Struthio camelus: one gene and its partners. The protein of the gene in region 2 interacts with the protein of the main gene of each other region in a biochemical or structural test. Links are inferred from orthologs where the notes say so. Each region holds a gene or a part of one and is shown on either strand. Other genes may lie near its edges. The genes, in order: TICRR, TOPBP1, RHNO1 and ATRIP.

Evidence for each region.
Region 1: the proteins of TOPBP1 (region 2) and TICRR form a complex in vitro, tested with the Homo sapiens proteins (2 studies listed by BioGRID). The link is inferred for Struthio camelus from reciprocal best matches to the Homo sapiens genes TOPBP1 and TICRR.
Region 3: the proteins of TOPBP1 (region 2) and RHNO1 form a complex in vitro, tested with the Homo sapiens proteins (2 studies listed by BioGRID). The link is inferred for Struthio camelus from reciprocal best matches to the Homo sapiens genes TOPBP1 and RHNO1.
Region 4: the proteins of TOPBP1 (region 2) and ATRIP form a complex in vitro, tested with the Homo sapiens proteins (2 studies listed by BioGRID). The link is inferred for Struthio camelus from reciprocal best matches to the Homo sapiens genes TOPBP1 and ATRIP.

What each region holds. Positions count from the first base shown.
Region 1 is NC_090953.1:9,976,145-9,983,474, forward strand, and holds the start of TICRR (treslin), read left to right. Parts: upstream 1-4,312; 5' UTR 4,313-4,346; coding exon 4,347-5,003; intron 5,004-5,577; coding exon 5,578-5,860; intron 5,861-6,450; coding exon 6,451-6,692; intron 6,693-6,944; coding exon 6,945-7,188; intron 7,189-7,330.
Region 2 is NC_090943.1:50,368,640-50,375,788, forward strand, and holds the start of TOPBP1 (DNA topoisomerase 2-binding protein 1), read right to left. Parts: upstream 3,015-7,149; 5' UTR 2,942-3,014; exon of another isoform or gene 2,788-2,941; intron 2,603-2,787; 5' UTR 2,596-2,602; coding exon 2,515-2,595; intron 1,689-2,514; coding exon 1,554-1,688; intron 978-1,553; coding exon 834-977; intron 45-833; coding exon 1-44. Other genes in the region: C-C chemokine receptor type 5, read right to left, coding at 7,060-7,149. UniProt on the Homo sapiens protein: Scaffold protein that acts as a key protein-protein adapter in DNA replication and DNA repair. Composed of multiple BRCT domains, which specifically recognize and bind phosphorylated proteins, bringing proteins together into functional combinations.
Region 3 is NC_090942.1:88,361,059-88,368,444, reverse strand, and holds the start of RHNO1 (RAD9, HUS1, RAD1-interacting nuclear orphan protein 1), read left to right. Parts: upstream 1-4,365; 5' UTR 4,366-4,430; exon of another isoform or gene 4,431-4,622; intron 4,623-5,850; 5' UTR 5,851-5,951; coding exon 5,952-6,119; intron 6,120-7,008; exon of another isoform or gene 7,009-7,386. Other genes in the region: FOXM1 (forkhead box protein M1), read right to left, coding at 214-438, 658-806, 1,874-2,423. UniProt on the Homo sapiens protein: Involved in microhomology-mediated end-joining (MMEJ) DNA repair by promoting recruitment of polymerase theta (POLQ) to DNA damage sites during mitosis.
Region 4 is NC_090955.1:22,012,219-22,019,836, reverse strand, and holds the start of ATRIP (ATR-interacting protein), read right to left. Parts: upstream 3,012-7,618; coding exon 2,606-3,011; intron 1,904-2,605; coding exon 1,821-1,903; intron 258-1,820; coding exon 87-257; intron 1-86. Other genes in the region: protein BTG1-like, read left to right, coding at 3,376-3,486, 5,286-5,337. UniProt on the Homo sapiens protein: Required for checkpoint signaling after DNA damage. Required for ATR expression, possibly by stabilizing the protein.

The DNA of each region.
Region 1 (7,330 bases), on a different chromosome or scaffold from region 2:
GCAGCTCCTAGTGACACTTTGCTGGGAAATTCCCATGTCCCGAGTCTGTTTTCTGTTCCCAGGCAGTCCCTGATAAGGCAGGTTTTGGTCACACTCTGCTAAGTGTCCTCTGCAGGCTACTGGGACAGGGCGCAGGCTGCAAGCTGCTGGATGGATGCCAGCTGCAGGAGCATGAATGGCTTAGCTCTTTTTGAGGGCTTGTACTCTTAAGGGGTTTACTTACAAGGAGCAGCAGCAAGAGCAACACCTCAGACAGGACAGACGGGCCCAGGGCAACTGAAGGACCTGTGGCTCAGCCTGCCAAGAGCGTTCATCTTCAGGTCCCACTGAGAGCTCCCAGGCTGGGCTGAGCCAAGGCTCTGTCCCCCACAAACCCTTTTGTGCAGTGTTACTGTGTAAATGAGGCTACTCCTGGAGTACCTCCATGGCTCCCGGCTGGTGTGACATACCACCAGTGGAAGGAGCAGCATTATCTCTGGAAAGACCAATAAGTAGCTTCAGAGTGGTTGATGGCACCTGCCTGAGCTTTGATTCCTTCCAATTGTCAACCCTACAGCCTCTATCCTTCCTCCCGCTCAGCAGGTCTTTGGCCAGGACAGAGCTCTCCTCTGACGTTCACCCCAACATGAAACAGGACTGGGGCTGCAGCACTGTATCCACCCACAAAAAGGACTGCACACAGGCAGGGTTTTGCTCCTCTCTGATTCAAAGATCAAGAGGGAAGAGGGCAAGTATACCCAGAGAGATCTCACCAGAATGACTTGAATGATATGATGTTGATTGTGATACGTTGTTTACCTGGAGGGACTACAGGAGCCAGGATCAGAAATAGCACATCAGAACAGTTAGCGTATGAAGGAACAGAGTCAGGACGTGATCTTCTCCCCTTGTTGTTTCCTCCCATTTCCACCGAGGAGTAACCTGCAGTACAGAGAGAAGCAGCGACACAGTAGGACCCCATTTTTTCAGGCAGTTATTTACACCATAACAAAGTGTGCAAGGGCACTAATCTGATCTGCAGTATTTTACACCTGCCTTGCAGGGTGTGGAGCACAAGAAAGAATCAGGTCCAGCAAAGGAGTGGTAGAAACAGGACTGAACTGAGATGCCTTCGTTCACAGTCCTTTGTTGAGGTTGGGCCTTTTGCATCGACCCCACACCTACATATCTATACTATGCAAGGTCTAATAGAGTCTATCGATTGGTTGTAGACGCAGCCCAGTCCCTCCTGTCACACCAGGGCTCCCTGAAGAGTCAGTGTCATTCAAACCGCAGATTCCCCACCACCCCTTTTAGCCAGGGAGACCCGGTGTCCTTCCCTTGCTCTTGGGTGGCAAGTTTCTCCTACTTACTTGAGCGGATCAGCCCCTAGTTCTAGCCCATTAAATCTGTTTGCGCTCACAGTTCCTAATAAATCCGAATGGCCACTTTATTGCCCACTTATCTTTGTTGCTTTATAAATACGACTGGCTGCTGGTGACACTAGTTTATGCTGGGGCATTCAAGCTCCGTAGAGAAGGGTGGCGTAGGTATCTGGACAGCTCTGGTCTGCAGGGCTTTCTCTTGTTTTCTCAGTGTGATCCATCAACATTTGGGTCACACCCAGACTGCTAAATACCCACAGGGCAAGATGTGTTCCAAGACCCACAAGTGGGCCACGTCTAGGGGGCAAGCTAGCTGAACAAAACACATGTTTCTTCTGTCCTCACCCTGACTTCAGCCCCCTGTACACACACTCCAACCCTACTCCTTTTCATCCAGCCCTGATTCCAGAAGCTCTACCCTCTCCTTTCATATTGATTTCCATTCCCTCCTCACACTCCTCTGTCGTCTCTATTCACCCAGCTTCCAGCTGGCCCCAGTCACCCCATCTCGTGTGTGTTTTGTTTCTTCCAGCTCCAGCTAGTGCTGCCCCTGCTGTGGCTTTCTTCAGCTGGTAGCTGTGCCCCCCACTCTGCTCCTCTCCGACGCCCTCGAGAGCCCTGCTCCTCTGCTTTCTTGTCATGCTCCCTTTCTGGGTCCTGGTGTCTAGGTCTCACTTTCTCTCACCTCATGTTCTCAGCTACCTCAGGTTAGCAGGAGATGTACTGATTCCAAAAGCAGGTTAGGTAAAGAAAGGTCCATCAGGACATTTTATGTAAGAAAGGGGCACAATGTCTGGCTCAAGCAGTCTCTGAAGAACAGACTGCTGGAGTGGGAAGTTAAACTTAGACAAGCATCTCTTCTCATGAACCAACTGCTCTCTTAGCTGGGATCCTGAGCTAGACGGATGGTTGCGTTGCCCCAGTGTGGACCTTGTGTTGGCCTCAGTATTCCCTGGGCAGGCTCAAATATGAGGAAAAGCTCTGGAGTGGCATCTCTGCCTAGGAATGGCCTGCCTGTACCAGCCTGGGTCTGTAGGACTTTCAGGGGAGCTGGGCAGGGCTCCTGCCATACCTAGTCTCTTGTCCTCTCCACTTGGTCTCAAGCAAGGAGGGGAGCTGCTCAGCAGCCTACCAATAGCCAGCATCCTCTGTGCAGCTCCAGGTGGGAAGCTTGATGGAAGCTGCAGAGGACCAGTTTTTGTACCAGTATTGACCTCTAGTGGCAAGCAGAACCTGGATTCATGAGCAGTCAGCGTATCTCAGCATCATGCTCCAGTTCCAGAGCATGGAGCTGGCTTGGGCCCAGCCTGGCCAGCACAAACCCAGAGCTATGGATCCCTGTCAGACCTGCACTGCCCACTGCAGGGCCACTCCAGGCCTCTGCGCCTTGTGCCTTAACCTGCTTGTAGGGGAAGGGAATTGGTTCAGCCACAGGATGATTTTTGGTACATAACTGCTAGGATTGGGGCTGCTGGTCACGATGAATCACATCACCTAGGAGAAGGTGACTGATCTCAGCCACTCAGGAGTGTCTACAGGAATATAGGCACAACCAAGGAGAAATTGCTTCTCTGTCATGCAAAGAAACCCAGAATCCAGAAGACACATACTGACGTGAATGATATGTATAAAGAGCAGCAAACACAAGGTATGTGACTCTGCAATCAGACAAGCCCTGGCTTGAGGAACAGTTCTTAAAACAAGAAACAGCCACAAGCTTTAAAAGCAACCTGAAACCAGAAAAGCTCATTACTGAGAAACATCTAATAAGATATCATATAGTAATCTCACCCGCTGAGGAGTTGAGGTCACCCCCCCCCCCCCCCAAACTTTCACTCCAGGAAGTGCATTTTAATATCTCATTACGGTAGCTTTAGTATGTTTTATTTGCTTTTATTATTGAAAAAGGACATCACCTCTACTGCAAGATAGTTGTGATAGTCTTTGTATCCCTGACTTGATATCATCTGAACTGACTCCAAGCTTCAAGCATCCAAAAAATATGTATGTGGTCCTCCCAAAAAATTATTGTGACTTCAGAAGGTTTTCCAGTATCACTTCTTTCTATGTGGCTCCTAGAGGGTCACCTTTTACAAGTCTGTCCACCGAAACCTGAAAGACGTGCCGTAAAACCACGAGCATCCACAGGCCGCAGAAGCAAGGAATCTCCACGTGCCGGAGCGCTGTAAGGTCCAAGCGGTTTTTTCAAGGGGTTCACGCTAGTGAATAGAGGGGTGTCTCCACGTCCCTGAAAGGGACAGGACCGGTACCGGCCACAGACCACTTATGGCTGAAGGAAAGTGGCTTCTGACTGCTGCAGGAGCTCGATTCTGAAAGGGGTTTTCACTGGAGACAAACATTTTCGACAGGTCTAGACCAGCGCTCAATTACAGCTCGACTAGGCCTGCACAGGCAGCGCTGGAGTCGCCATTAGGCTCGGAGACCCTGACTACCACACTGATGTGATGGCGATGACAACAGCGTGGCGTCACATCTTTAAAGCCCAATGAGAGCGAGGCAAGGAAATGACATCACCGCCACGCTCCCCCTTCCGCCTTTAAATTTTAAATTCTCAGCGGCGGCCAATCAGCTGGCTCCTGCGGCTGGCCCCGCCCCCTTCTCCGCGCGTCATGGAACGTCGCGCTCCCCTCCCACACGGGGTCCGGCCAATCATCGAAGAGCACCGCCCGGAAAGCCAGCGCCGCCCCGCCCTTTTGCCCGAGCTTTCCCCTGCGGGCGCCAGCGCGGGCGGGGCGGCGGGCCAATGGGGAGCGGCGCGGGAGGGGGCGGGCCGCGAGGTGCGAGCCAATGAGGGCGCGAGGCGGTCGAGCGCGCCAGCAGTCGGAGCGGGCGGGCGGCGATGGCGGCGGGCGGGCTCTGAGCGGCGCGCGGCGGTGGCGGGCAGCTGTTGGGCTGGCGCGCGGCGGGGCGCCGCTGTGAGGCGGCCGTTGGCGGCGGGGGGGAGGGGGGCGGCCGGCCGCCATGTCGTGCTCCCACAGCGTGGTGTTCCTGCTGGACACGGCCAGCCCGGCGCGGCGGGAGCGGATCCAGCTCGGCGCCCTGCGGCTCCTCAACCACCTGGGCTGCCGCCTCGGCCTGTCCCGCCTCCGCTGGGCCTTCAGGTTCTTCGACTCGCTGGGGGGCCGCGGCGGGGCCTCGCGGGGCGGCGGCGGCTTCCGCCCGCCGGGGCCCCGCGCTTGGGCCCGCTTCGAGGAGGAGCTGGCGGCGCGGCTCGGGGCGCGGGGGCCCGGCGCCGCCTTGCCCGGCCCGGCGCCGCGCGCCGCCCTCACCCACAACGGCCTCAAGGAGACGCTCCTCGATTACCAGTGGGACCGCCCCGAGATCGCCTCCCCCGCCAAGCCCCTGCGCCGGAGCCGCAGGACGGGGCTGGCCGCCGCCGAGCCCCCCGAGAGCCTGCCGCCCCCCGAGGGCTTCGTGAACGCCGTCTTCCTCTTCTCCCCCTGCCCCCACTCCCGGAGGGAGCTGCGGCAGTTCGTGTCTGGCAGCGACGCCCCTTCCCCTTGTGAGCCGCCCACGGCTCAGGAGCTGGCTGAGAAACTCTTGCCCAAGAGAGTCCAGGAGCTGATTGCAGACCAGAAGATCACGCTGTACTGGGTGGACACTGCCGAGTGGTCTAAGGTAATCGGAGAATGCTGCATACCTTTGCATTGCTGGTGATAGTGAACTGTCTTCCTCAATTACTTCCCACTTAAGAAGGGAGAGTTTGCAGTTTTATGCTGTAATCTTCAAGTGGAAAGAAGAGAGGTCAGGGTCTCCAATAACTACCAAGTAATCCTGTTTAGCAAGAGGCCAACAACTGGAACGGTAGTTATCCCTGTAGGGATTAAGATATATCAGCGACTGACTGACTGCAAAGTGTTTACTAAAGGGTTGTCTTGTGCTTTGAGTTAGGTAGGAGTTATAGCTGTTCAGGACTGTGAATAAGCAGACTGGCAGTTCAGTTATCTAGATACTAAATTCAGGAATCTGTGCTTGAAGATACTGGCTACCTCTTAATTCAATGGGCATGGTATTTTCCTTTCTGTGTTCCTATGAGGGCTACTTTAGTCCATAAAAACACTTGGTAAATGTTTGAATTGCTTTATATGCATTTCATATGCCGGTTCCTATACAGGCCTGTAATCTATATTCGTTGTTTGGATAGAGTTCACTGCCGAAATTAACTTGAGACCTGTCTGCTGCTTTATTGCAGTTACTTGAATCTCCAGATCATGTTGGATACTGGACGATGTTTGAACTGATCCACCAGACGGGAGGCACCATTTTGTCGTCAGAGATCTTACTGCAATGTTTGAGTCATCACGGAGCAGATCGTGCTCGCTTTCTTAGAGATTCCAGTTCCTCTGTGTCACAGTTCGTGCCATGGACTGCGCTTCTGCCCTTGGACTCCACCTTGAACTTCTTGTTTTCAAAGGCCTCTGCCTTCCAAGCAGTATTCCCCCAGCAAGAAGGGACATTGTTTCTCAGCATGCATGGTAATAAAAAGCGGTAGTTAGGCATGCATAGAAATAACTCTGATTTCTCATGCAGGATCCTGATGTGTTTCCCTTGTGAACAGTATGCATAGAGGTAACTTGAGATATTTAAGAGCCTAAGTGTATATTTAAAAAAAAAATAAAAGTCCTGAATGTGCTGCAGTGCCTCTCCTAGGAGAGCTATTGGCCCATATTCCAGACTTGATCTCTTCAGTTTTCCATTTTTCTCAGAAGTCTGGTTGTATGAACAGTTCTCTGTTGATCCCAGCTTAGTGTATGCTGTTTTCTTCTATATGCTTTATCTCAGCTACTTTAATTCACTTCATTTAAACAGGTAAATGACAAACACCTTCAAAAGTGATTAGATCAGCTGTAAAGGAGCATGCAGTGCATGTTGTCTCTTTCTTTGGTGGTCCCTTAATGCACTTGGCTCCTTTATGAGAGCTCGGGGAGGTCAGTTGTGTAATACATTTACTGCAGAGCTACTCTCAGTTTAATCTCAGAATTTATTTTTCTTGCATTGAAGTTGTCTCTTCATTCAGATGAAAATTGTTTTGCGTGTTATAGAATTTTTTTTTAACCTTACATAGGAGAAGAGAAGCAGGAAAGCTGTGTGGTGATTCTGGAACCCCTAGCCATGAGCCAAAGACAAGCACAGCATCCAGTCAATATCTTCCTGAAAGGTACCCTGACAGGTTGGAATTTGATGCAGGCTAGCAACTTTCTCACAGAGAGCTGGATATTGCGGAGCTCCCAGGCTGAACAAGCGGAACAAAACAGGTCACTGTTTCATCAGCTTTTAAGGACTCTAGTGACTGAAGAACTACACATGGTAAGTCTTTCTGTTTGCCCTGAACCAATATCTGTTCTGAAATGGGCTGTTACCAAAAAATGACAGTCTTGTGTGTCATGCTCTGAAGACAGTAATAGTGGTATTTGTTGCATTGTGGATTGCTCATTTGGGTCTAAATTCAGAACCCTCTTTAGAAAATCAAGCAAGCTTATAACCTATTTGTAAACTGTGTACTACCTGAGGCCTCTGGGTATTACTAGGTAATATAAACATCCCTTTCTTTTTATGTAGGTTGCTGAGGTGTCTCTGTCCAGAACTTCATGCCCCTGCACTGCTGTTTTATCACCGCTTGCTGAGAGTACTGCAGTTCTGATTATATTCTGTTCTGAGAAGGCAGCTGAAATTCAGCGATGTAACCTTGAAGGAGATGTAGTGGAGAGCTCTTCCCAAGACCATACCCTTCACCTCCCGGATATTGTTAGTAGTGTGCTGAGTAAGATTGACACATCAGTGGAAGAGTCTCTGGCTAGTTCTGGTAGGCACTGGGAAATACAAAACTTATCTCCTTCTAATCATCTGTAGATCTGATTTTGGGGCAGAGGACACTAAAGCTAATGATTTCCTCAGTAATGAGAGTGATTTAGGTGCTTGTTTGTTTTGTCTCTTATAGCTCAGGC
Region 2 (7,149 bases):
TACACACGTCCACCCATCATCTGCACATATTTATGAACTTCTTCCTGGGTGGGAAAAGAAACTATAGAAAATCTTCAAGCAAAAAGAACCTACATCATATGCAGGCTCACCTTAAAAAACAAACAAACAGAACCCCGTCAATTTCAAATCTCTATGGTTTCTCCTAAAAATCTGTTTGGAAATCCAAAAAATCAATATTTCGGGAAGCCATTAAAAATACCAGACATTAACTCCATTTTATTCTTGATAAGCTGAATATAAAAGATACCCTTAATAAAGAGGCTACAACCATATTATATCAGTGAAAATGTACTGATGGTTGGCATTTTAGGTAGTATAAATTAGAAATAGATGTTGGAATAAATAAAAAGGAAACTTTTACAATGAAGGACGTGAATTAAACTACTTGAGATAAACCACGGCTGACTAGATATTAAATCTTTACCGTGTAGTTTGAGTAACCAGAAATAGAGTACTTTGTCTGCAGCATGACAGCCACAGACAAACTAGCAAGCTAAGTGATCCACCTAAAGATGAAGTCAGCTAATAGAATCCCTAAAACATACAATTAATCCTACAGTAGCAAGACTAATGTCTTACAATTTTATATGCATTCTTATGTAACATAAATGTACATATACACACTACAAAGACATGTATACATACCATATATATAGTAAGCCTATATACAAAAATTTACACACCATCTACAGAGCCTATATATAAAAACAGGCAGACTTTTACGTTATATAGTAAGACTATTGGCTTAGCAATAAGCCATCTGAAGCAAATGTCACAGAAAAATTAGCTGAACAACCATTATGGGCCATTACCCTAACATCTTTTTCAAGGCTGGTACAGGATACTGTTACATCGGCCATGGTCATGTTATACACAGGATATTCAGCTCTTGGGACGCATCGCTGGGACTGCATACAATATAGGACTGCCTGTGGTCCAACAATTCTACAACCGAGCTGCGGTAAAATCAAAGAAAAAACAAAGATTAGCAGAAAGACACACCGGTATAAACAAAGCTTTCCTTGTCCCAGAACACTGGGGAAGGAGAGGTCATTGTCTGCCCTCCTTTAGCAGCTCCAAGTAGTTGAACATTTTTTTTCATTTTCTGATGCAGATTCTCAGTACCATCCTCTCACGTTTTCTGGCCTTGGTTAAGGCAGTGGATGCTACAGCTGACATGCCACAGAATTCTCGCGAGCCTAGCTTTGTCTGCTGGCATTATTTCTTGGAGGTCAAACAAAATTACATTACTGGGGGAAGCAAAAAAACGCGAGAGCCAGCTCACTGACTACAGCAGAATCAGAACTGATCACTGTATTTATTTTTCCATTTGCTTCAAGATGATTGTTACGCTTTGTCAGCCCTCCTCTTCCCTAAATACAAATGCATTGGAATTTTTACTATGGACTACTATATTCAGTAAAGAAAGAGAAAACATGCAGAGTATAATTATCGACATGAGCATTCCTACAAAAGACAGAGTATTCCTACAAAAGAGAGTATAGTTAAAAGTAAATTGATGAGTAGCAGACCTTTTTGAGATGACTGAAAACAACGCCTCTAAAAGGATCGCAAATGTAAAGGGATTTATCATTTTCGTTTATACTGAGCGCTGCTTCTTCTTCAAGGATCTGCAGATGTTCTTCTGACTGAAATTCTTTTATGGACTGCAGGAAAACAGTGCACACAATTACACTTATTTAATTCACAAATCACAAACAGTTAAACCTGTGGAAACTACAAAAGCTTGTCTACTTAAAAGAGCTTACAACAAAACTATATAAGAGCATATTAGTAGAAAAGAAGGCTAAAGATATCTCCTGTTTTTTTTTCCCCAATTCTTCACAATATTCAGAACTATATGTTCAGCACACAAACCTTCAGGACCTCATCCTGCCAGACAGTGCCTTTAACTCCCACTAACCTCCAGGAGGAGGAGAAAAATGAACTGTCCTTACTAAATCTTCAGTAGTCTGGATGAGTGACCACCATTTGGATTTGCCAAGCTTCCAGTTTACTTCATTAAACGTTAAGAGGTTTTCAGAGGAGGCTAAAACCGTTTATTCACTCCTCCCTCCCCTTACTCCCTCCTCCCCTCCAAGAGAAATAGTACTTCCCATGGTACTATTTGCTGTACTGGACAGTTGCTCTTTGCAGAGCTGATCTCCAAATTTTAGGCTCCTCAGTACCTTTAGCAAGACATTAGGCCCACAGAATCCCTCTTCTGTGAGAATCTACAAGATGTAGAAGAGTTTTCTGAATGGAACTATCACATTACAAGTAATAAATAAACACAATGAAAAAGAATTGCTTCTTGATCTAGGAATAATCATGCAAAACAAACTTTAATAACAACACTGAGCATCTCTATCACTGAAATGTGTTATCTACAGATGCGTACAAACGCACTACATCCCGAGACAACCACAGAAGACGCTTACATAGAAAATAAATACGGCAACCTCACTGAGAAAGGTCATCAAACCCACCTACCTCAAGAGCTTTAAAAAAAAACTCCGAGTTTCCAGAAGACTTTATGAACTTCACAAAGAACGGCTCCTTACTACCTTTCATCCTTTAACTGGAAAGCAAAACCACACAGGTTTCATGACTCTGCCACCTTCGTCCGGAGAGACACCTAACGCCTGCAGCCAGCAGCCGCCAACACCTTCCCCACCCCCGCCGCAGGAGCTGCGCAAACCGCCTCGGCCCGGCCCCGCACCGCGGCCCGGCCCCGCACCGCCCAGCCTCGGCAGCGCCACCAACCTCCGCAGGGGGCAGCCCCTTCCCCACAGAGCCTCCCCTCCCCCGCCTCACGCAGGCCACTGGCACTACCGCCGCCCCAAGCGCTCCCCGAAGGCCGGCTCGCTCGGCGCTGCCGCCCCGCCGTTGCGGGCCGCCGCCGCCGCCCGTCACCCACCCCGGGCCGCCTGCGCGGCTGGCGGGAAGCGCCGAGCCCCGCACCGCGCAGGCGCAACATGGAGCCCGGGCGGGGCGGCGGGGGGGTGGAGGCGCACGCGCCGCCGGAGGGGAGGAGCGGCGGCGGCCGTTGCGCGGCGTCACGTGCCCACGCGGGCCGGCCGTTGGTGGTGTTGCCGGACGGGCGCGGGTGTGGGCTGTGTCGCCGCCGCCGCCCTGTGGCGGCTGAGGGGAGGGGGCCGGCTGCCTCGCGCGCCCCGCGCCGTGGCGGCCCCGCCGCCCCCACTGGCGCCGCGGAGGGGCAGCGCCCCCGCTGGCCCTTGGGGTTGCTGAGGCGCTGCCCGGCTCCCGCTGCCTGGCCTCTGTGGAGGGCCGCAGCCTCGGCCTCTGCCGGCCCCGCAGCCTGGTTGTTTATCCGTGCTGTCTAGCCAAGGAGCGCTCTGCGCTGCTGTCCCCTCTGGTTCACGCCAGGGACAGCTGGAGGAGGCCTCTTCCCGCTGCTCGGGGAACGGTTACTGCCATAAGAGGTGGTAGCAAAGGCGGCTTCCCTAGCCCTAGCCTGGCCCATGCCTGGCATCTGCCCTCCAGAGAGGGTCAGGCCGTCACTCTGTTCGCTCTGAAAAGCCTTAGGGTGCTGGTGCTGCCACCTTGTGCTTGAGAGCGGCGGGGGAAGTACGGCAGCTGCCAGGAGGGCTGAGAAAGGTTGGAAGCGTGCTCATCCCAGTGCCATCTAAGTTGTGCTTCCGGGGGAAAGAGCGTAGAGAGGGTGTTCTGTTTCGTTCCTGTGACTTCCAAGCTATGCATAGGAATTTGAGGTGCACGCCTTCTGGAGCAGAGGACAGCATGAGCATGTGGAAAACTTGTTCAGAAGCTAATCGAGCTTCACTCCTCCCGTATCGTTCTGTATTGTTCTCCCGTATCTTTCAACTGCCTGAATCATCAGAAGCTGGCAATGCCCACTTCTCCGGCAGGCCGCTAGTCCTAGGTGCTCTGAGTGTTTTCTAAGGCTTGCTGCTGTCTGTGTAATATTCATGCTGCCTGTAGTGGAGGAAGTCATTTCGATAGAAGAGCATCTTGAGAAGAAAAAAGTTTTGGGAGAGGAAGAACACCAAAACCACTGATGAAAGCGAGTCTTTTAAGTGGCAGTATGAAACCTTACAGTGTGGCCACATGATGGCACCGTAATGTTAAAAACTGAAGGGACTCTGAGTAAGCGTGTGTGCAAGTCTAATTGTTGGAGGTTATCTCTTCAGTGCCTTGGGATAGATACTAAACATCTTTAAAACTCTTTCCTATGCTTATGTATTTTAAAACACTTAGTATTCATCCTCTTAGGGTCAGAGTGAGTTATGGGCTAAACCTCTTCCGTGTGTAAAAATAAACAAAAACAAGTGTAGTATCAACCAAAATAGGCTATTTAATAGACAACTAGTGACAAGCAGTTAAGCACAGGGATCATGTCTTGATGGTCATGTGTTATCTGATGATGTTGGTTCTTTGTCCAGTTGTTAAACTCTCATTTTTTTCTGCCTGCTTTTTCAGCATTATAGCAACCTGCTATAAAGAGGAATTTCTTCTTTCTTTTTTAATTCTATTGGGCTATCAAAAAGAAGAGGGCAGAGGGGAAGAGAGAGGATCAAGAAATCTAACACACAAAAGTCAACCAACTTTAATGGATTGTATAATACAAAATATTATTACAGTCTGTTGGCAGAGTCCTTAATTCAATGTACCAGCAGTGTTACTGAGCACTTATTTGATATGTCCCCTCGAAGCATGGTTCCCTGCTTACTACAGTGAGCAGCTTGTTCTCGCTTGCTGAAGCATGGTCCCTTCTCAGTGAAGTGAAGTAATAGAAACTCTTGAGAGCTGCTCGTTCACCGCTGATCCACTGGACCACAAAACTCTCAAAGTTCCAACTTTGCCTCTTGGAAGTTGCTTGTCACTTGGAAAGATTCTTGCTATAGGAGATAATACTGCAAAGGATCAGGGCTCTTCTTTGATACACCTCTCAAAAAAGCATGCCCCTCTCCTCTTCCGTGTTTGATTGTCCTTTTCTTCTGCAGGGATGGTTATGTACTGTGTATGGCACTGAAACCTAGAAAATAATTTCTTAAAGGCAGTGTGCCTTGGGGTCCAAATGAATGATTTTGTCGAGAACAGAATAAATCACAAAAAGATTTTCATAAATGTGATCTAGAAGAAAAAAAAAAGCCAGCCTGACAAAAGTTACTGCATGTAGCTTCCTATCCCTTTAAAAATGAAATGCATATATTTTGCATTTTATGCTGAAATTACCTGATTTCTACTTATAGTGATATAGTTACCTGTTTTAAAAGCATATACAAAGTCCAGAAGGTGACTGATGCAACAATGCCTTAAAAAAGGATGTGCATCTCTAACGACTGTGAATTAGAAGACATAGTATAATTTTCTTATACTTCCCATGTGGATGTAGTCCAAAAGTGGTGCTTAATACGATAGAATAACTTGAAACAAGTGGTCTGATGAGCAAAGATTTCCCTATTGCACTTCCTGTTTTCACAAGCACTTAGCAGTGTAAGATTTCTTTGGGGCTGTTGGAAACATTTGCTTATTTGGAAATATTATCTAAAAGGATATTTAGAGGAGCTGGGAAACAGAAATAACCCTACCAGATAAGAACAGCAATCAGAACATTGTTTTTTTATATTTCTATTTCCAGAGTTGGCCAAAACCAAGTGTCTTAGGGGAAATGTAACAAACACTAGGAAGGACAGTTTGGCATGAATCAAGTAATCGTGCAGATAAGGTATGACCTTAAGCACGTTAGTATCCCCATTCTTCAATTTTTCTGTGTGTTCAAGTGCTCTGCAGGATCTGACCTTTAGCAAAAGCCCAGTCATAGATGGCCGTCAATCTTACTAATTAAGAAAGCTTTTATTATCTTTAAAACTACCAAATGGCATAAAAATGGTCGTATCATTTTTGGTAGCCCCCAAATGATACCTACTTGTAAAACCAGGAAGTGCCCCTTGACTTTGTGGATCAGTGAATTCTTTCACTTGTTCCTATGTTTTGATAACTTAAAAATTCATGGCATATGCTTATCTCTGTAAACATCTGGGTCAACCCTATTTAGAAAACGTTTCCACACCTCTAATGCTGTTGTGTTTTTGCAGCCACTACCACTGCATTAATTTCATATTTTAAGTTTTTCCCTATAACTATGCTGGTTAGCAAAATGGCAAAAAAATCACTGCACTGAAAAAAACAAAACCCTATTGACTGATAGTACACATTTGATCTACCCTAGTTAAAGCTCCATGTGTAATACTGTAATGTTTAAATGTTGCAAACACATTGCTTTGCTGATCAACGTTAGTCCATTGTATATTTGATTAGCTTTTCAATATGAGTAACATATAAAACAGCAATTGATTGAGAGAGCCTCCTGAAATACCCAAACTCTTGAGTAACTTAGGTATTGACATCGAATAGTTAAGACTAACATGAGAAAAGACCCAAAATATTGGTACTTGACTGTACACAATGAAACAATACCTTGAAATATTAGAAGCTCTTTTAAATATATAACATTTTCCCTTATCCCTTCTAAAGATTCTATATCACAGACCTCCATAATTTAGCGTTATCTGCACAAGTACACAATTAGGCTGGTAAAGCGTGGAGCTGACACTGAGTTTAAATGAGTGAGATATCTTGTGTAAGGTCCAGTCAAGAGATGTTTCCAAAGAACCAGTATCGATTTCTAACCTCCTTTTGAATTAATTCAAAAATTCTGTGTATGAGCCTGCTAGCTTAGTGTACAGAGAAAGCCTCCAGTCTTTGGGAGTTTTAGGTCCTTCAGGATAAAGCTATGCTTTTACTTTCACAAAAAAAGAGAATACTTCTTTCCTTGCAGAATCCTACATTTGCATATCCAGCTAGCTAATTTGATCCATCCTTTTCATTTATGTACAAATACCCATATGAATGAACAAGTACAAGGTTTGGTAGGCGTATGTGCCGTGTTCTTCTGTGGCCACCTTAGAGACAATATCCAGACAACAGCTTTCGAGGCTTCTTTCACAGAACTGATTTCACAAAAGTTAATTCCACTTTTTCACTAGACACAGTTTACAATGCAGCAGAAACTTCTTGCTCTCCAGTGGACTGTGTGTAGGTGGAGCTAGCCCGTTCAGCTGTGTCAGCATAGAAAACTGGACA
Region 3 (7,386 bases), on a different chromosome or scaffold from region 2:
AAGCATCCCACCACCTTTCCTATGTGGCATGAGAAAAAAGGATATTGGAAGTGGAACACGGACATCTGGAATGAGAGGGCATTTGGGGTGGGAGGTGTTTAAATTAATTTCCATTATGCTCTGCAGGCTGCGGAACGACTTTTCATTTTCATCCAAAAGCCTTATGATATTATCACCCTGTGGCCCACAGCAACTTGAGGGTCTGCATGTTACCTTCCAACCTGGCTTAGCCACATGTTTAAAATAAGGGAAGTGATCCTCAATCCAGGTATAGATGTCCTTCAGAGTCATACGCTTCTTCTCAGTGCTGTTGATGGCAAACTGGATCATGGCCATGTAGGAGTAAGGGGGTCGTTCTGATACTGAATCCTGCCAGGAGGAGGAGGAGGAGGAGGAAGAGGAGGAAGTAGGAACGGTAGCAGCAGAATCTTCTTCAGTCTGAGAGACAGAAGGAACAATATATGAGGGCTTGCAAAGCCAAGGAGAAGGGCCATGGAACACCCATGGATCCTCCAGGTCCTGCTATTCAAATCAGTAAAGGGGAATCTCAGGTTACTTAGAGATGGTCATGCCTGGTTCTTTCAAGTCTTCTAATCCACATGCATTGCTTCCCTATCAATAGTTTTAGTGTATGCTCTGTTGTCTCCTCCTGCTTACCTTGATTCTTTCCTGCAGAGGTATTCGGTTCTCTTTCTCTGTTTCCTGCTTCACGGAACATGGGCTTAGTCCATCAGATCTCATCTTCCCCAGCCATTGGATGTTAGTGAGACTATTATCCAATATAGAGCTAGCTGCCTCACTGCTGCCTGTTGGGATAACAAGCCCATAGCTCTGTTTACTCATGAGTAACACTCTTCCCCTTTAATCCCAAGTGCCAAAAGGAAGGCCTGGCCACTCTTCCCAAAAAGGTATCTCTGTCTCAGGATAGGGACAAGACAGTATTGCAAAGATAGTATCTTGTGGAGATATCTTAAATTCTTGATTTCATGTGAATCTGCCCAATTCCTGAAAAAAAGCTGCAGTCCTAAAATCCCCACTGAAACCAAACTATTGCTCTCAACCAAAAATAGGACAATGTTGACTGAAGTACTTTGAAAATTCAAGTATTTTTAGCTAAAGGATAAATCTGATAGGCAGAGGCCAAGAAACGTGGTAGCATAAGCTCAGATATCTGCAGATTTTTGAGCAGCAGTGATGAAAACTAACAGATATGGTCTTACTGTTTCTGGTGAGGCTATTTGTAGCAATATAGTTACTGGAGCTGCCTATGTGTAATGGTAGACAGTACTATACCATGGGATAAGATTTGTTACAGCCCCAAAGCAGCAAAGCTTTTGTTTTTTTTAAGTTGTAAACACACATTTGATCTGAGCAGCCACTCAAAATCCATCCCACTTCTAGCATTTGCCCTGAAGTTTCATGAAAAAGCCAAGAAGGAAAGAGACTTGCCACACAGTTATTAAAGGAAGGGAAATCATCTCTGCTTCAGAGCTCTAGGCCCCTGTGTTTTGTTGCTGATTAGAATGCTCTATGCTAGTCTTGATTCCAGCCATAAACCTTTTGCTAAATGGAACTTAGCATTTTGTTCTTCTAGTCTTGATTTCCTCAAACCGAATCCTCTTTCTTCCCCAGCACTAAAATTTTGCTCTACTATATGCACCTTGGTACGCCAGGCCTGTCTCTTGTACAAAAATATATCCATTAAGATCCTTCAGGATTCACTACATACAAATAGCTAATGCATATCAATTATTTTGTAGTTAACTGAATAGTTTTCACTATTGCATCCTGATAATTGGACACTACACTCATTGGCACGCTTCAGGTCTCACTCTCTACATGGCAGGACAAGAAAAGAGTAAAGACTACATACCGTTGCCTTCCTGTTCCTGCCCGACCACGGAGTCAATTCCTGAGTGCCAGAGTGCTGTCCCTCCTGCCAAACCAGGGGTCTGGATAACATTCTTCTCTCGTTCCCAACCATGTGCCACCTTGAGCGCTGTACTGGCTTTCTGTTCTGATGGGAGATGCTGTGACGCTGCTGGATCTGCTGAACGAGAGGGGCCCCCACTGCTAATGAGAATGAACTTGTTGGGCCCATTGCTGCCACATTCTTTTCCTTTCGCTGTCAGTGCCTCAATGATGCTCTGGATATCAGCACTTGTAGGGATGGCCACCACTTGTGTGTTGGGCATAGTAGGATGGTTGACGATCTTTATTCCTGCTGGGAATTTCTGCAGGCCACAGTCCATTTTGTGTCTGGGTTCGTTGCTGTGTTGGTTCCCTTGGCTATACTCCTGCTTAGGAGTCTTTTTACCCTGACTACTGGGCTCATCTCTTGCTGAAGTACTGGATGCATCATTCTGTGGGAGGGTCAGTTTCCGTCTTTTGAGAATTAAGGGCCTGCGAGGGCTGGTGCTCATTATTGATCTCTGCAGTCACTCTCCATTGAAAAGAAGAACAAATCCTGCAAAACAAAGGATGCAAGGTAAGAGTGTGAAGGGAAGGAACAGTTAGGAAAGGTGCAGCAATTCACCAGGGGCTGCACACACATTCTCAGCGATTGCTATGAATCTAGAAACAAGAAAGGAATCAACAATGAATGCTTTTAAGAAGATTCACAAAACTGCTGGAAAACAGCACTGCACTTCCTTTATCCACACCTTGTATAAACAGGACAGGAGAGATATTTGCAAAGCAGATAATTTGCATCAGAAGTTGAGAGCCATAGAGTACATAATAATGACAAAAGTATGCCTGTGTGCCTTACAGATACAAGATGTGCCTTACACCTCAAGACTTAGTTGTCAAATGACTTATTCAGAATCAGTCAGCAAGCTGGAGGGAAGAGAAGCTCAAACAGAAATCACAGAACACCACTGACAAACAGTCCTCACTCTCATATCTCATTGCTGTAATCATCAGATCACACAGCCTGAGAGAAAAGGGGATTTAACAGACGGTATAAAATCTAGAAAGCAAAGATCTCTCTGGAGATTGTCTCCTGGACACTACAAAGTCACACAATAAACACACCCGAAGTGAGAAGTCCTTTAAAATAAATTCAGACTAAATGCTTTGGCCATTCCTTTTGTAGGCTTGTTAAGAACTAGAAAAATATTCATCTCAGAGCAGCGTACCATTTTAATTTCAACCTTCTGGACAAAAAACATACATACAAAACACATAAATTTTAGAATGGCAGGAAGAGGACAGGACAAGGGAGTACTTCAAATTCAGAGACACTGATTTCAGGGTAAGATGCTGTGTGGCCCTTTTGAGAACACCACTGACAAATATCATGCCAATCAAGAATTAGGCAGAGGTTGTCTCTTGTGGCAAACTATAAAAGAACAACAGCATGCACATTGTATTGATTATTGATCATTTGGAATCATAGGCAGAATAGAAACAGAAAGAAAAGATGTCATTCTGTATTGGTGGATTTGATTCAGCCAGGCAGGAAACAAGAAAATTCTCAGTAAGAATCACTTGCACAGCTACAAAAGGGAAAAAGCCCAACAGATAAAATCTGAGTTGCTACCTGGTGTGCTGGCAGTGGACAGCCTGGGATCAGAGGCTGCCCAGCAGCTGGAGACCACCAGCAGAAATACTCAGCATTACACAGAGGTCATGTCACCCAAGTACACAACAGGCCCCCTCGCAATCTGCTCCACTCCTTTAAACAGAGATCCCACAAAACAAAAATGGACGTATAACTTTTAGCCAGTTTCCAACAGGATGAATACCTACAAAAGCAAGTCATTTCCTAAAAAGGCCCCAAGCTGCTACTAGTAGAGGCCCTGGAGAAACCCTGTTGTATGCACAGGCCCATGGGGGCAGTAAGGAGAGGAGCACTAAAGGGCCAAACACACATCCCCAGCTCTTTTTTCTCCCTAGGATCAGCCCTCTCCATCCCCCATCCTTCCCTCCCAGACCGTGGGGTGCTGCCAAGCCTGCCACACTCACTGGTGAATCTGGGCTGCCTCCCCCAGAACCCTTCCACCAGCGCCCTGACATGCCTAGGCCCAGGCCCAGGCCCAGGCCTTTCCCTCACACCAGGCACCCTGAGCACTTAACACAGCCCTCACATGGGTGCCCAGCCACTACCTCCAGTCCGCACGAGGAGATATCAGAGGGGCGCGATGGGTGCTGGGTACAGATCGCCACTCACCAGCTTCCCAGCCAAGAAGACGTAGAGGGAAGAGGCAACGCAGACGCTTCCGGGCTCCGCTACCGCTCGCGGCGCAGGTCGTTTCCCGGTTTGAATTTGGCGCCTGGCGGCTCGTTGGCATCACGTGCCAGTCTGGCCCAATGAGATGCAGGCCTGCGAGGGGCGGGGCGCCGCGGGCCAATCGGCGGTCGCGGCGGGGGATACGGATGTGCCGGGAGTCCGCGGGGCGTTGTGGTTGTGTCTGCTTTACGTGTTGGTGGGTCTGCGTCCGCGGCGGGCCTCGCTCTTGGTGCGGCCCGGGATGGAGGCGCTATGGTGGGGGTTCCCCTCCCCCGGGATGGTTGCTCAGCGGGTGCTGGAGGAGCCTTCTCAGTGCTCGGCGCGGGTCTGAAGGGGAACCGGCGTGGGAATGGGTGGAAACTCTTCCTGATCAGGTCCTTGTGAGGCTGTGAGTCCCTGTGTGATGCCCTGGTACCTACTGCTGTACAGAAAGCACTGACTTCAGTAGTTTGCCTTAAAGGGTGCTTTGTGAAGGGCAGCTGAGTTTTGTTGGTCAACAGATATTAAAACTGCCTTGTTAGTGAAGTGTATGAAATCCACTAAAGAGGATGTACAGCTTTTGCTAAAGTCTGCTAAAGAATTAAGTTGTTGTATAGCCTTTTATGCGTTAATCAGAAAATGCATTTCTCAGAAAATGTTCTCTTTAAACTTCTTCACCTGTGCTAATCTGCTCTTGAATGCAAATTAAAATTCTATGTAGAGTTTTTCACTAAGTAAATAAAACTATGCAAAATATGTAGAATACATCAGGGAAATAGCAATTTATGTTCTGAGTTAAAAAAAAAAAATAAATTCTTGAAATGGAAAAAATAGAGGTAGCTAGCAACTAGAAATGGAAAGGCTTCTGGTCCTTCCTAAATTTAGACTAGTAGATTGCAGCCTTGCAAAGCAGTTTTATTCATGAATTGAAAAAGGAAAAGAAATTTTTTGGACTCTCAATTCCTAAACCATTTTTCAGATATGACTAAACTGGATAGAATACTTATGTGAATAAATTATTTCTTTAAATCCTCTGGAGAGCTGGTTCAGTAGTCCAACAAATTCATTCATGTTTGTTTGTTATTTTTCTAGCAGCTTAGTGGTTTGAATTTCCTTAAAATTTCAGTGACTAAGCCTGTTCTGAATACAGTTGTTCTTATATTTCAGTGTTTAAGTCAGGCCTGATGTCCTTCTTTATCAATTTCTTTCAAAAGTTTTTAATGAAGGAAAAACCTTAAACTCACATAAGGATATCTGATTTGTGTATCTAAAATGCATATTTCCATAAGAAACTAATTTTCCCAATAATGCCAAGTCTTGCTTAAAATGCCAGTTTAGAATTCCTTTTGCAGTTGGAGCATTCCTATGTTTTTTGCCTGTCTCGCTCTCCCACTGTATCTGGCTACCTGCTTTCATGGTAGCCAGAAAGCTGGAAGGCTTTTAATTATCTATCATATTGTGTTTTTGCTAAATCTACATGAAATCAGCTAGAAGGTTAAAATCTACTGATGTAAATGTGGAGTTTACATAGAGATATGAACATGGTACTGTGGCATAAAGGCTTTACTTCTGTTAAAAATTAGATTTGAGGTTTCCAGACAAACTTATCTTAAAATCCATTTATTTGCCTTCTACAGATTTGAGAGCACTTTAGCATCTTCTTGGGGTGCCTTCCTCTTTCTCCAATTGATACTAACAAGCATCATGAGGTTTCTAAGTGGTTTTACTATACCTCTTGATGCCTCCAAAGAAGAAATGTACCCACAAGGCCAGGAAAGCAGAGCTGGTATTCCTTGAGAGGCCGCAAGAGGGACCTATCCATTCCTATGAATCTCCACTACCTTTGGCTGAGAATCCAAGACGTGTTCCTACCAAACCTATAGACCAAAACACCTCTCCTGCCTGGGTTGGTATAGATTATCTTTCCCTTTGTGTCCTGCCAAAATGGTTTTCAAGATTCTCTTGCATATCTCAAAAAAAAAAAAAAAAAAAAAAAAAAAAAAAGGCAAGCTATCTGTCCCAGATACTGAAAATCAATAGCAAGGACCTGCATTCATTATAGTTGTCCAAAACATAAATAAGTGCTTTTTGAGTTGCTTCATGTTCTTGTCACAAACAACCAGTGATGTCTTGGTTATTTGAAAGCATAAAACTGTACAGTGTATACCGATCAACTATTACTAATTGTCTTCCAAAAGACTAACTTTCATGAGAATACTTTCTGCTTTATATGGCAACTGAAAATCCTGAACATGATAAAACATTATTCCAAGGTGCTGTTCCCCTCCACCTCCTTCTAACTGCTTGACATAATTCCTGACCTCTAAATGTTAGATGTTAAAGTACTAGGCTTTTCATTTAAATCAGGCTTAAGTATTCTGGTGCTATGCTAAATTTAGAACAAATAATCCTGGAGTGCAGGTCTGCGTTCCCTAACTTGTCGTCTTTTTCCATTCTGTGTGTTTTGAACAGTTTCTCTCCAAACAAGCCATTCTAATGGGTTCCTTTTCTGGTTTGACAGAATATTCCAGGGATTGCTTGCACCGTCCTAATACACGCTTTATATTATATTGTGTAATGTGAAGAGTTTTAAGCAAACAGCTGCTGCAAAAATGGACACTGTTCCCATGCAACAACAGCTATAGCTTTGGGCAGCTCTATTATTGTTACTTGGATCTCTAAGCTCTATACAAAGCAGCTCCAAGAAGCATGGTTTCAAACCCATGAGAGACATTCCTCTGGCCCTGGGGACCTAGAATTATTTTTGTGGTGTCTTAACTTCAGAGCAGAACATGTTCAGTTTTTTCCTTTTTAATTTTATTTCTACATATATAAACATATGTGGTGAAGATGATTCACTCACTCACTCTTAGTACTTCAATTCTAAATGTACAATGATTCTAAAATGTATTTGAAGCCAACAGCACCGAAACTACTAGATGTTATTCCATTTGAGAATGCTGGTAGGTTTGCAACTTCCTGAAGCATCCTCTGCAGATCTTCTTTGAACTTGTCTCAGTGGCAACTGAGATTTTCTGCTCATCTGGAGGGTATATTAAGACTTTCATAAGCTTTTGACTGCTAGGCTCCTCTCCTGGTAAAACATAACTTGCATGTTCTCTAAGCCAGGAAGTCACATCTCAAGGTTAGTAGCTCATTAGTGTTCTTGTAAG
Region 4 (7,618 bases), on a different chromosome or scaffold from region 2:
CCTTTGACTAAATGGCCTGTGACATCATTGAAGTCATAAAACTACCGTCTGCATGTGATGTACAGATAACTAATACAATTACAAACCTTTCTGGAGAACTCTTTTTCTTTTTCACTTAGGGTCTGAGATTTTTCCTGTTCTAATAGCATATATGATTTTTTCTGTTCCTCCATAGCACACTCCATCTGCAGCATTGAGTCTCGCAAAATTTTAATTTCTCCATTTTTAGTACGAATTTCATCTTGCATTTCTTTCAGCTGCAAACAGATGAATTCCATTAGATCATGTCTATAAGCAGAAGTATGGATGTGTATCATCATCTCTGTGGTTGAAAGTTAAGCGTATTTATACTTTCTACAGAGAAAACACTTCCATAACCTAGTCCAGACATTCTGCAGTGTTGCTTCTAATCTGTTTCTGAATAAATCAGGCTCAACTACTGTTTTCTCTAATTGAATTATAAAATGACAGCAAAGGTATATGTTCCTATACCATCCTGACTGGTGTCTGAGAGCGTTCTCCTCCTCCTCCGCGACTAAACTCTTTCTTTGAAAAGTACTCTAGTCACGCAACAATCTATTTACTGTTTGGATGAGAACGATGATAAACTAACTATAATATCTCATCTAAAATGGCACCCAAAAAGCATGCTGTCCTAAGACAAACTACCGCCCCCAGACAGTATCTTCATGACATGCATGCTCTCCAATATTGTCTGAATAGACATCATCGCTCAGAAAAAGGACTAGAATAGAGGCAGCTATTCAGAAAAGCACGAAGAACAATGAAGACAGATACATTTAACCACAATATAAAAACATGTTTTACCCCTATATTGAACATGGTGTGCAGATAGGATCTTCCCCAATAAAGAAGGATATAAAAGAAACTGGAAAAGATTCAGAAAACTGAGGCAAGGATGACGAAAGTAGAAACCTTCTGTCTAGGAGAAGACACAATTGTGAAGAAACAAAGGTCTATCAAAGTGCGAGCGCTACACAAAAGTTATTCCTTGTTCACTGCCTCTCATAATAGCCAAGATACATCCACTGAAAATCACTAGGTGTGAACTTCAAAATAAAATCAAAGGAGAAATTTCCTGACACAACACGTTGTTAGGCTGCAGACCTCTTTGACGCTAGGAGTTTCTTTGGGCTTAAAAAAAAAAAAGCACCACACAAGTGTTTTAAAAAATACACCAAAGGATACTAAACACATGTATACAACTTCTGGATCAGGTTAACTACATCTGGATAACTACATGAAATTTTACCAGAGGATAAAACAACATTCTGCTAAAATATCACTATAAACTTGCTCAGGTCTTCTATTCTTCCTAAGCTGTCTGCCAAAGAAAGGATGGAGCTGGTATGGCTACTTGTATGTTCTTACTTCTCTGCATCTATTTCTTCCCTGTAGTAGCTTTCCATGAGGCATCAGGAGGTAAAGCAACATAATGAAATTTAAGTATGACTTTCTCAAATCTTTCAGTTTCACAAAACTACTTTTGCTGACCAGCTCAATGAACAAATAGAGGAGAACAGATCTGACAGAAAACAATTAGAACTGACAAATCAGCGTATGCTAATCTGAAACAAACAAGAAATAGAATATTGCTCTCGCTCTTTACATTACTAGAGCTGGTTTTAGCACAATGCTTTTTATATATCAATGCATCATTTCAAAGATTACAAAACAACTTGATTAGAAAGAAATACTTGCAACCAAACTCATCTGGCCTTTCAATTAGCCATCTCAGAAGGATGTGATATTTGCCTTTATAGCAAGGAACCTAAAGGAGAAGAGAAGACATTGCTAACCTTTTGTTTAATTTCTTCATGCTGTGTTTGTAATACTTCAAACCGAAATGCATCTTTAATCAGATTGTCTTCTGAATTGCTTCCTGTTGCAGAAAAAATAGAAGCCTGAATGACGCACATCGCTGCTGATTTATCATCTCAAAATTTTGTTATTTGCCATCACACACACTTTTTAATATTTTGTCACTAAAAACAGTTAAATTGCACACACCTAATCATGACAGTAACTTGATTACTGCTTGTGCATGAATCTTTAAAACAGAAGGAAATCCTTCCCCTTGCAACCATTTCTAGTGTCTTAACATATGGGAATATATGCAAAACTACCACCTGACCCACGGTACCTGCAATTATTTCCTTCAAGGTAATTTAGTTATTGCAGCCTGCACGAGTAAGGGTTAGCAGATAACTTTTTGTTCTGGAGAGATTATAAATATTAGCAACGCTAACACTTACTTAGAGGATCTAAGTTCCCTCTACTGTATTTATGAACAAGGCACTGCCCTTTTTCAAAGCAAATCTGAAAATCAACTGTTAATATGAGATATATTAGGCATTTTCTAGTTAACGTTAACGGTTAGGAGTAAAAAAAAATCTGACAGCCAACATGCACGGCACTGCAAGCGGTACTCAAAGCAACAACTGCATTACCTCGGACCCAAGGCCAAGCCGGCACCAAGAGCGGACGCGGGGGAAGGCCAGCCGCCCCCATCACCACTGCATCCGCACCTCGGACCGCCCGCCCCCGCCGCCGCCCGCCCCAGACGCCCCCCAGGCGGACTGACCGGTCTCCTGGCCCGCGGCGGGGTCGCCGCCGCCCCGCCGCCTGCCCGCCGCCGGCTGCGGGCTGCCGTCACGCAGGGCAAAGGAGGCCCTCGCCCCCCGGGCGGGTTTGGGGGCGCCTGCCCCGGGCGCGGCGCCGGCCGGGCCGCCCTGCGACAGCGCCTGCGATGCAATGATGTCTATTTCCTCCAGGTCGTCGGCGGTGAAGTCGTCGTGGTCCCCGAAGGGGTCGGGCCCCGCCGCCGCCGCCGCCTCGCCGCTCTTGGGCCGCTTGTAAGGCGGGAGGCCGTTGTCCAGGCCGCCGCCGCCGCGGCCCGCCGGCCCGGGCGCCGAGCAGGGGGCGGCCCGCGCCGCGGCCGCGCCCCACAGCGCCGCGCTGCTCCTCTTCTTGCTCCCGAGCGCCGCCATGGCGGGGGCGCACGGCCGGCCCCGGCCCCGGCCCCGGCGCCTCGCGCAGGGCTTCGCCCCTCCCCCCGGCACACCGGCCGCCCCGCGCGTCCCGCGCCGCGCCGCCCGCCAATCACCGGCGGGCACGGCCGGCCCAGGACCAATGGCAGCACGCTGACGGCGCACCGGCCCTACCGCGGCCCCCGAGGGTCAAGCCAAGCCCGACCGCTCAGCGGCTGAGTGTAACCCGGCGATTGGTCCCGGCGGCGGGCGCCGTAAGCGCCTCGCTGATTGGTCGCGGGGCCGCGTGAGGCGGGCGGCCCTGCCCCGCCCCGCCCCTCCGCGGCGGCGGTTAAGGCTGCTGACGTCAGGCCGCGAGCAGGTGATGTCAGGGCAGACGGTGGGGGGAGCTGGCCTTGCGACGTCATACGGAGCGTTGCCGTGGTGTGGCAGTGAGGTCCCGCGAGGCGGTCGGGCCCCGTGTGGTGCAGCCCAGGTAGGCCACAGCGGTGCCGCTGCGGCCGGGCCGGCGGTGTCGTCGTCAGCCGCGGCTGGTGACGTCACGGCGCGGCCTGCCCGAGAGAGGCAGTGACGTCGCTGGGCGTCAGCGGCGCGCTCCTGCGCTGGCCGGGCGGCCGGCCGTTAGCCGGGCGGCCGGCTGTGTGGGGTTTCCGCCTCAGTGGCGGTGGCTGGTGTAACGGAAGAGCGGGGCCGCTGTAACGCGTGCGGAGCCGCCCGCCGCGAAGGACGGCGCTGCCGCGCTGGCCCGCGCTGGCGTCGCTGCAGAGGCGGGCGTCGGAGCGAGTTTTCGCTCGCCCTGCGGAGCCATGGGCAACCGTGCTGTTTAGTGGTCAGTCGCTTAACAGAGAAAACGGTCTCAGGAACGGGTTATTCTATTGTTTTGTTCCCCTGAGGTGGGCAAGATATTTGGAATTCACTTCTCTTTTCTCGTCGCTTTTGAGATAGTGGTGTCGGGAAAGTACAGTTTTTGCAGAAATTCTGTACAGAAAACTCGCCCTTAACTTGCTGGCGATGGTGTGCTTTTGCTGTTGTACCTTAGTCTGTTTTGACAAGCTGTATAAATGGGTTTGGAAAATATACTTTTCTGCTGATGCCAGCTGTGTGTAACTTAGGTAGGTGTGAGGTAGCAGCTATGCTGAGGAACCTTTAAGTGTAGGCTAGCACATAGTTCTGCAGCACATGTATAGAACAGGGTTAGTAATGCTTCTCAGTGTTACAAATCACTTGGTGGTCCCTAAGTGAAAAATACTGTGCTGTTAATATTGGGCACTTCTGATTCTGCAGGAGAACTCTGATTTCTCATTTTGATTTCCCTATTATTTCTCTCTATTTGCAGCAAACTGAAATTATCATCAAATTATAATTCCTTTTATGTATGTGCTGTTTTTGTGTCATCATCTGTTTAGGCAGCTTGCGATAACTTCTTAACACAAAAAGAAAGCTGTGATAAGCAGGATTCTCAGCTGTCCCCTCTCATCCCAACTTCTCTGCTGAAGTGATAGTAAAGAGAGCAGGACCCACAGGTGGTTCCTCTGAACTTAAGAGGGCAGGACAGCTGCTGCTTATCTGCAAAAAGTATACATGAAAAGGAGCAGTCTTGGAGGAAAATAGTTGTTGTGAAGATAAATTCTGTATCATTTTATTTCTGAGATATTGGTTTAAGGCCTTCTTGTTTCTGTAAGGAGTTGAGTTTTAGTAAGCTGTTTACTAAACTGGGAATATTATGGAGAGATTTAATTTTTTAAAATCATTAAGAGTATTCTTATTCACATCTGGAAACTTTTTTTTTGTACTGAGAATGTTTGCGTAATGCCTGGCTTTGAAGTCTAGCAATAAAGAAAGGTAGCTGCTGCTTTTAAGATAGGTTTTATTTGTTTGTGTTTAGTGAGAGACGCTCCTCATAGAGGAAGTAAAAACCAAAACTGCTTGCTTTATTTAAAACCTTTTCTTGCAAGGTCTAGTGACTGCTTGTCATATATGACTATGGCGACTTGTGTTAAGGACTTGATTTAAATCATGTGAAAGGAGCATGATTTATACTTAGTCTTAATGCTGTTCTTCATTTAGGTTTTCTCTGGGTAACTGAATAGGCTTATACTATTACTATTGTTTTTACTTTTAAATAACAATATATGATATTACTGATGTAGCTATTGTTTTACTTGTTCCTTTTCCTCTAGCTGAAGTTGAGGGAAAGTGGAGCAAAGAATACTTGCACGCAGTTTCTTTTCAAAAGGATGAACAAGATAATGGCTTTGCTTTTTTCTGTTCTAGGGATTCTTGCTAAAGATAAATGACACTGCAGGTGAACAGAATAACCAGAAAGGTAAGTCTGAGTTGATAGGCTAAAAAAAGCTTTGTGGAGGAGAGCTGTATGTATGGTAGTGGTAGTTCATCTACTATTCTCCGTGATGTGACTTTTCAACTTTCAAAGCCATAGAAGTCCTCTAGAAAACTGGAAAAAAAATGCATTTTTTGTTTTGTGTATGGGTGCTATTTAGAAGTTGTTTCTAATGAAAAATAAGGTATTTAAGTGGCTGCTACTAAATTGTGCTAATATAGTGTTTCCAAATTGCAGTTTAATTCTCAACTCCAGTGCTGTGTTGTTGGAGCCCCCAGTACCCTCTAAAATAGCCTGTTTATACACATGGTTGTTAGTTGAATAACTAGTGAATAACTATATTTTTTTCTTGATGAGCCCTTGTCAGTTTTTTTTTAATACTGCTGCATATAGAACTATTTTCTGGCAGGGAGATGGAAGTTGAATACTTACATGGGTGTTACTTTCTTTTGTTTTCTTTCTGTGGGATGCTTGACTTGAGTCTTAAATGTGAAACCCAGGAGAATGTTTTTTTAAAAAAACAACAACAAAAAAAAGGAAGTTGCAAGTTTAACATTGCTGTACAACTATAGCATTTTTTCCCCTTGTTACAACCAGACCTTCCTTCCTTCTTGTTTCACTTAAATGTTTCACTTGGGACTAGTGATCCCAATGCCAGACCTCTGCCTAATGAGTGTTAATCTGTTAGCAGTGTTACAACATGAATTTTTCAGTCTCTTGCCATATTTTCAGCTACTTTTCATTAGCTAGCTCAGAAAGCTTTTCTACCCTGATCTCTGCTTAACACAAAGTTAGTCTAGTTAACTTTCCAGTTAGTCAAAATCAGAGCTCGTAACATCAGTCCTAGCTTTAGTGGAACCTTGGCTGGCTGGCTGACTGCAGTAAAATAAGACTGTATATAATTTGGGAGCTGTGTTTGCCTGCATTTATATATGTAAACACAACTTGGAAAGGGGAAGCTGTTTAGTATAATCGTGAAGAAAGATAACTTAGAACTGTATAAATCCAGTCATTATTGCTGTTAACATCTTTTTTTTTAAAAAAAAGATGTTTAGTCTGAGCACCAGTAAGAGTTTCGTAACTTATTTCAATGCCAATGACATGTTTCTTTGTCCATGATTTTTTTTTAATGAATCTTGAAATAAGTCACTGTGGTCCTGTGTTTACCAGAATGCTGTCAAGGTATTGGAGGTTTTGGAGTCATGCTTATTACTTTGGAGTGTAGATATGGTATGGAAAGTCCAAATTTCCCTAATGGAAGAGATGTGATTAAGTTGGAAGTGTTTTGAATTGGTATCTTACAGAACATGCAAAATAAGCTTAGTTCCAGAGCTGGTCTTATGCCACTGATTGTTTGTTGCGCTGGAATAATATACATTTATATTTATTTTTATATAACATAAACTTGCGTAGACCAAGTGACATCTAAAGTAAGGTAGGCTTGTGCTCGCTTTCTTCTTATTGCCTTCTTGTAACTTGACTAAAGTGATCTTATCTGCTCATATGTACTGTGATATATTCCAGCTGTGCTAGGATAGCCTTACCAGTAAGTCTCCAAATGGAGAAGTGAATTGTTGTGTTCTGATTCTCAAAGCACTGACTAAAGAGTGAAGTAGTTGGATGACTGGTCATCTAGCAGAGATTAACTTAATTTCTAATGTTTGAGTCATTGAAATTCAAACTGGACAGCAGTGAAAATGTGTCCCAATTGACATCTTTATTCCAGATCTGACACTTGATTAGGAGAAGGCTAACAGCTGTGAGTGAAAGGAAAAAGAAGCACAAAAATCGATTGTCTATCTTGAAGAGGAGGTGAAATCTGAATTTCTGCTAGCATTTTTTTCTTGTGGGCTGAAAATCCCTTTAGTTAGGCTATAAAGTGGCCTACAGAATTACATTACAGCATTTATGAAGATGAAATATGATGGATAGGTTTGTCAAAAACCACTTTTTAAAATTCCAATCTGTGAAGTGGGCCTGTCGTACTAGGTCATAGTAAATGAGTTTTGGACGCACTTCTGTAGTTTTGTCACTCAGTACTCAATTCTTCAGTCTTGGTCCTGTTGCTTGCTATTACAGTAATATTGGTAGAGGAGAGGTAGGGCAGGGAGTCATAGTCATCTTACTTTTTTCTTGGTGTTACTTAATACTGCATGAATTTTCTTGTTGTCATACCATTTCTAATAGTTTTGTCAAATCAAATAGGAGTTTACTTTCTTGAGGCTTGTTTTCCATGCAATGAATAAGGGTGAAGAAGCTTTAATCG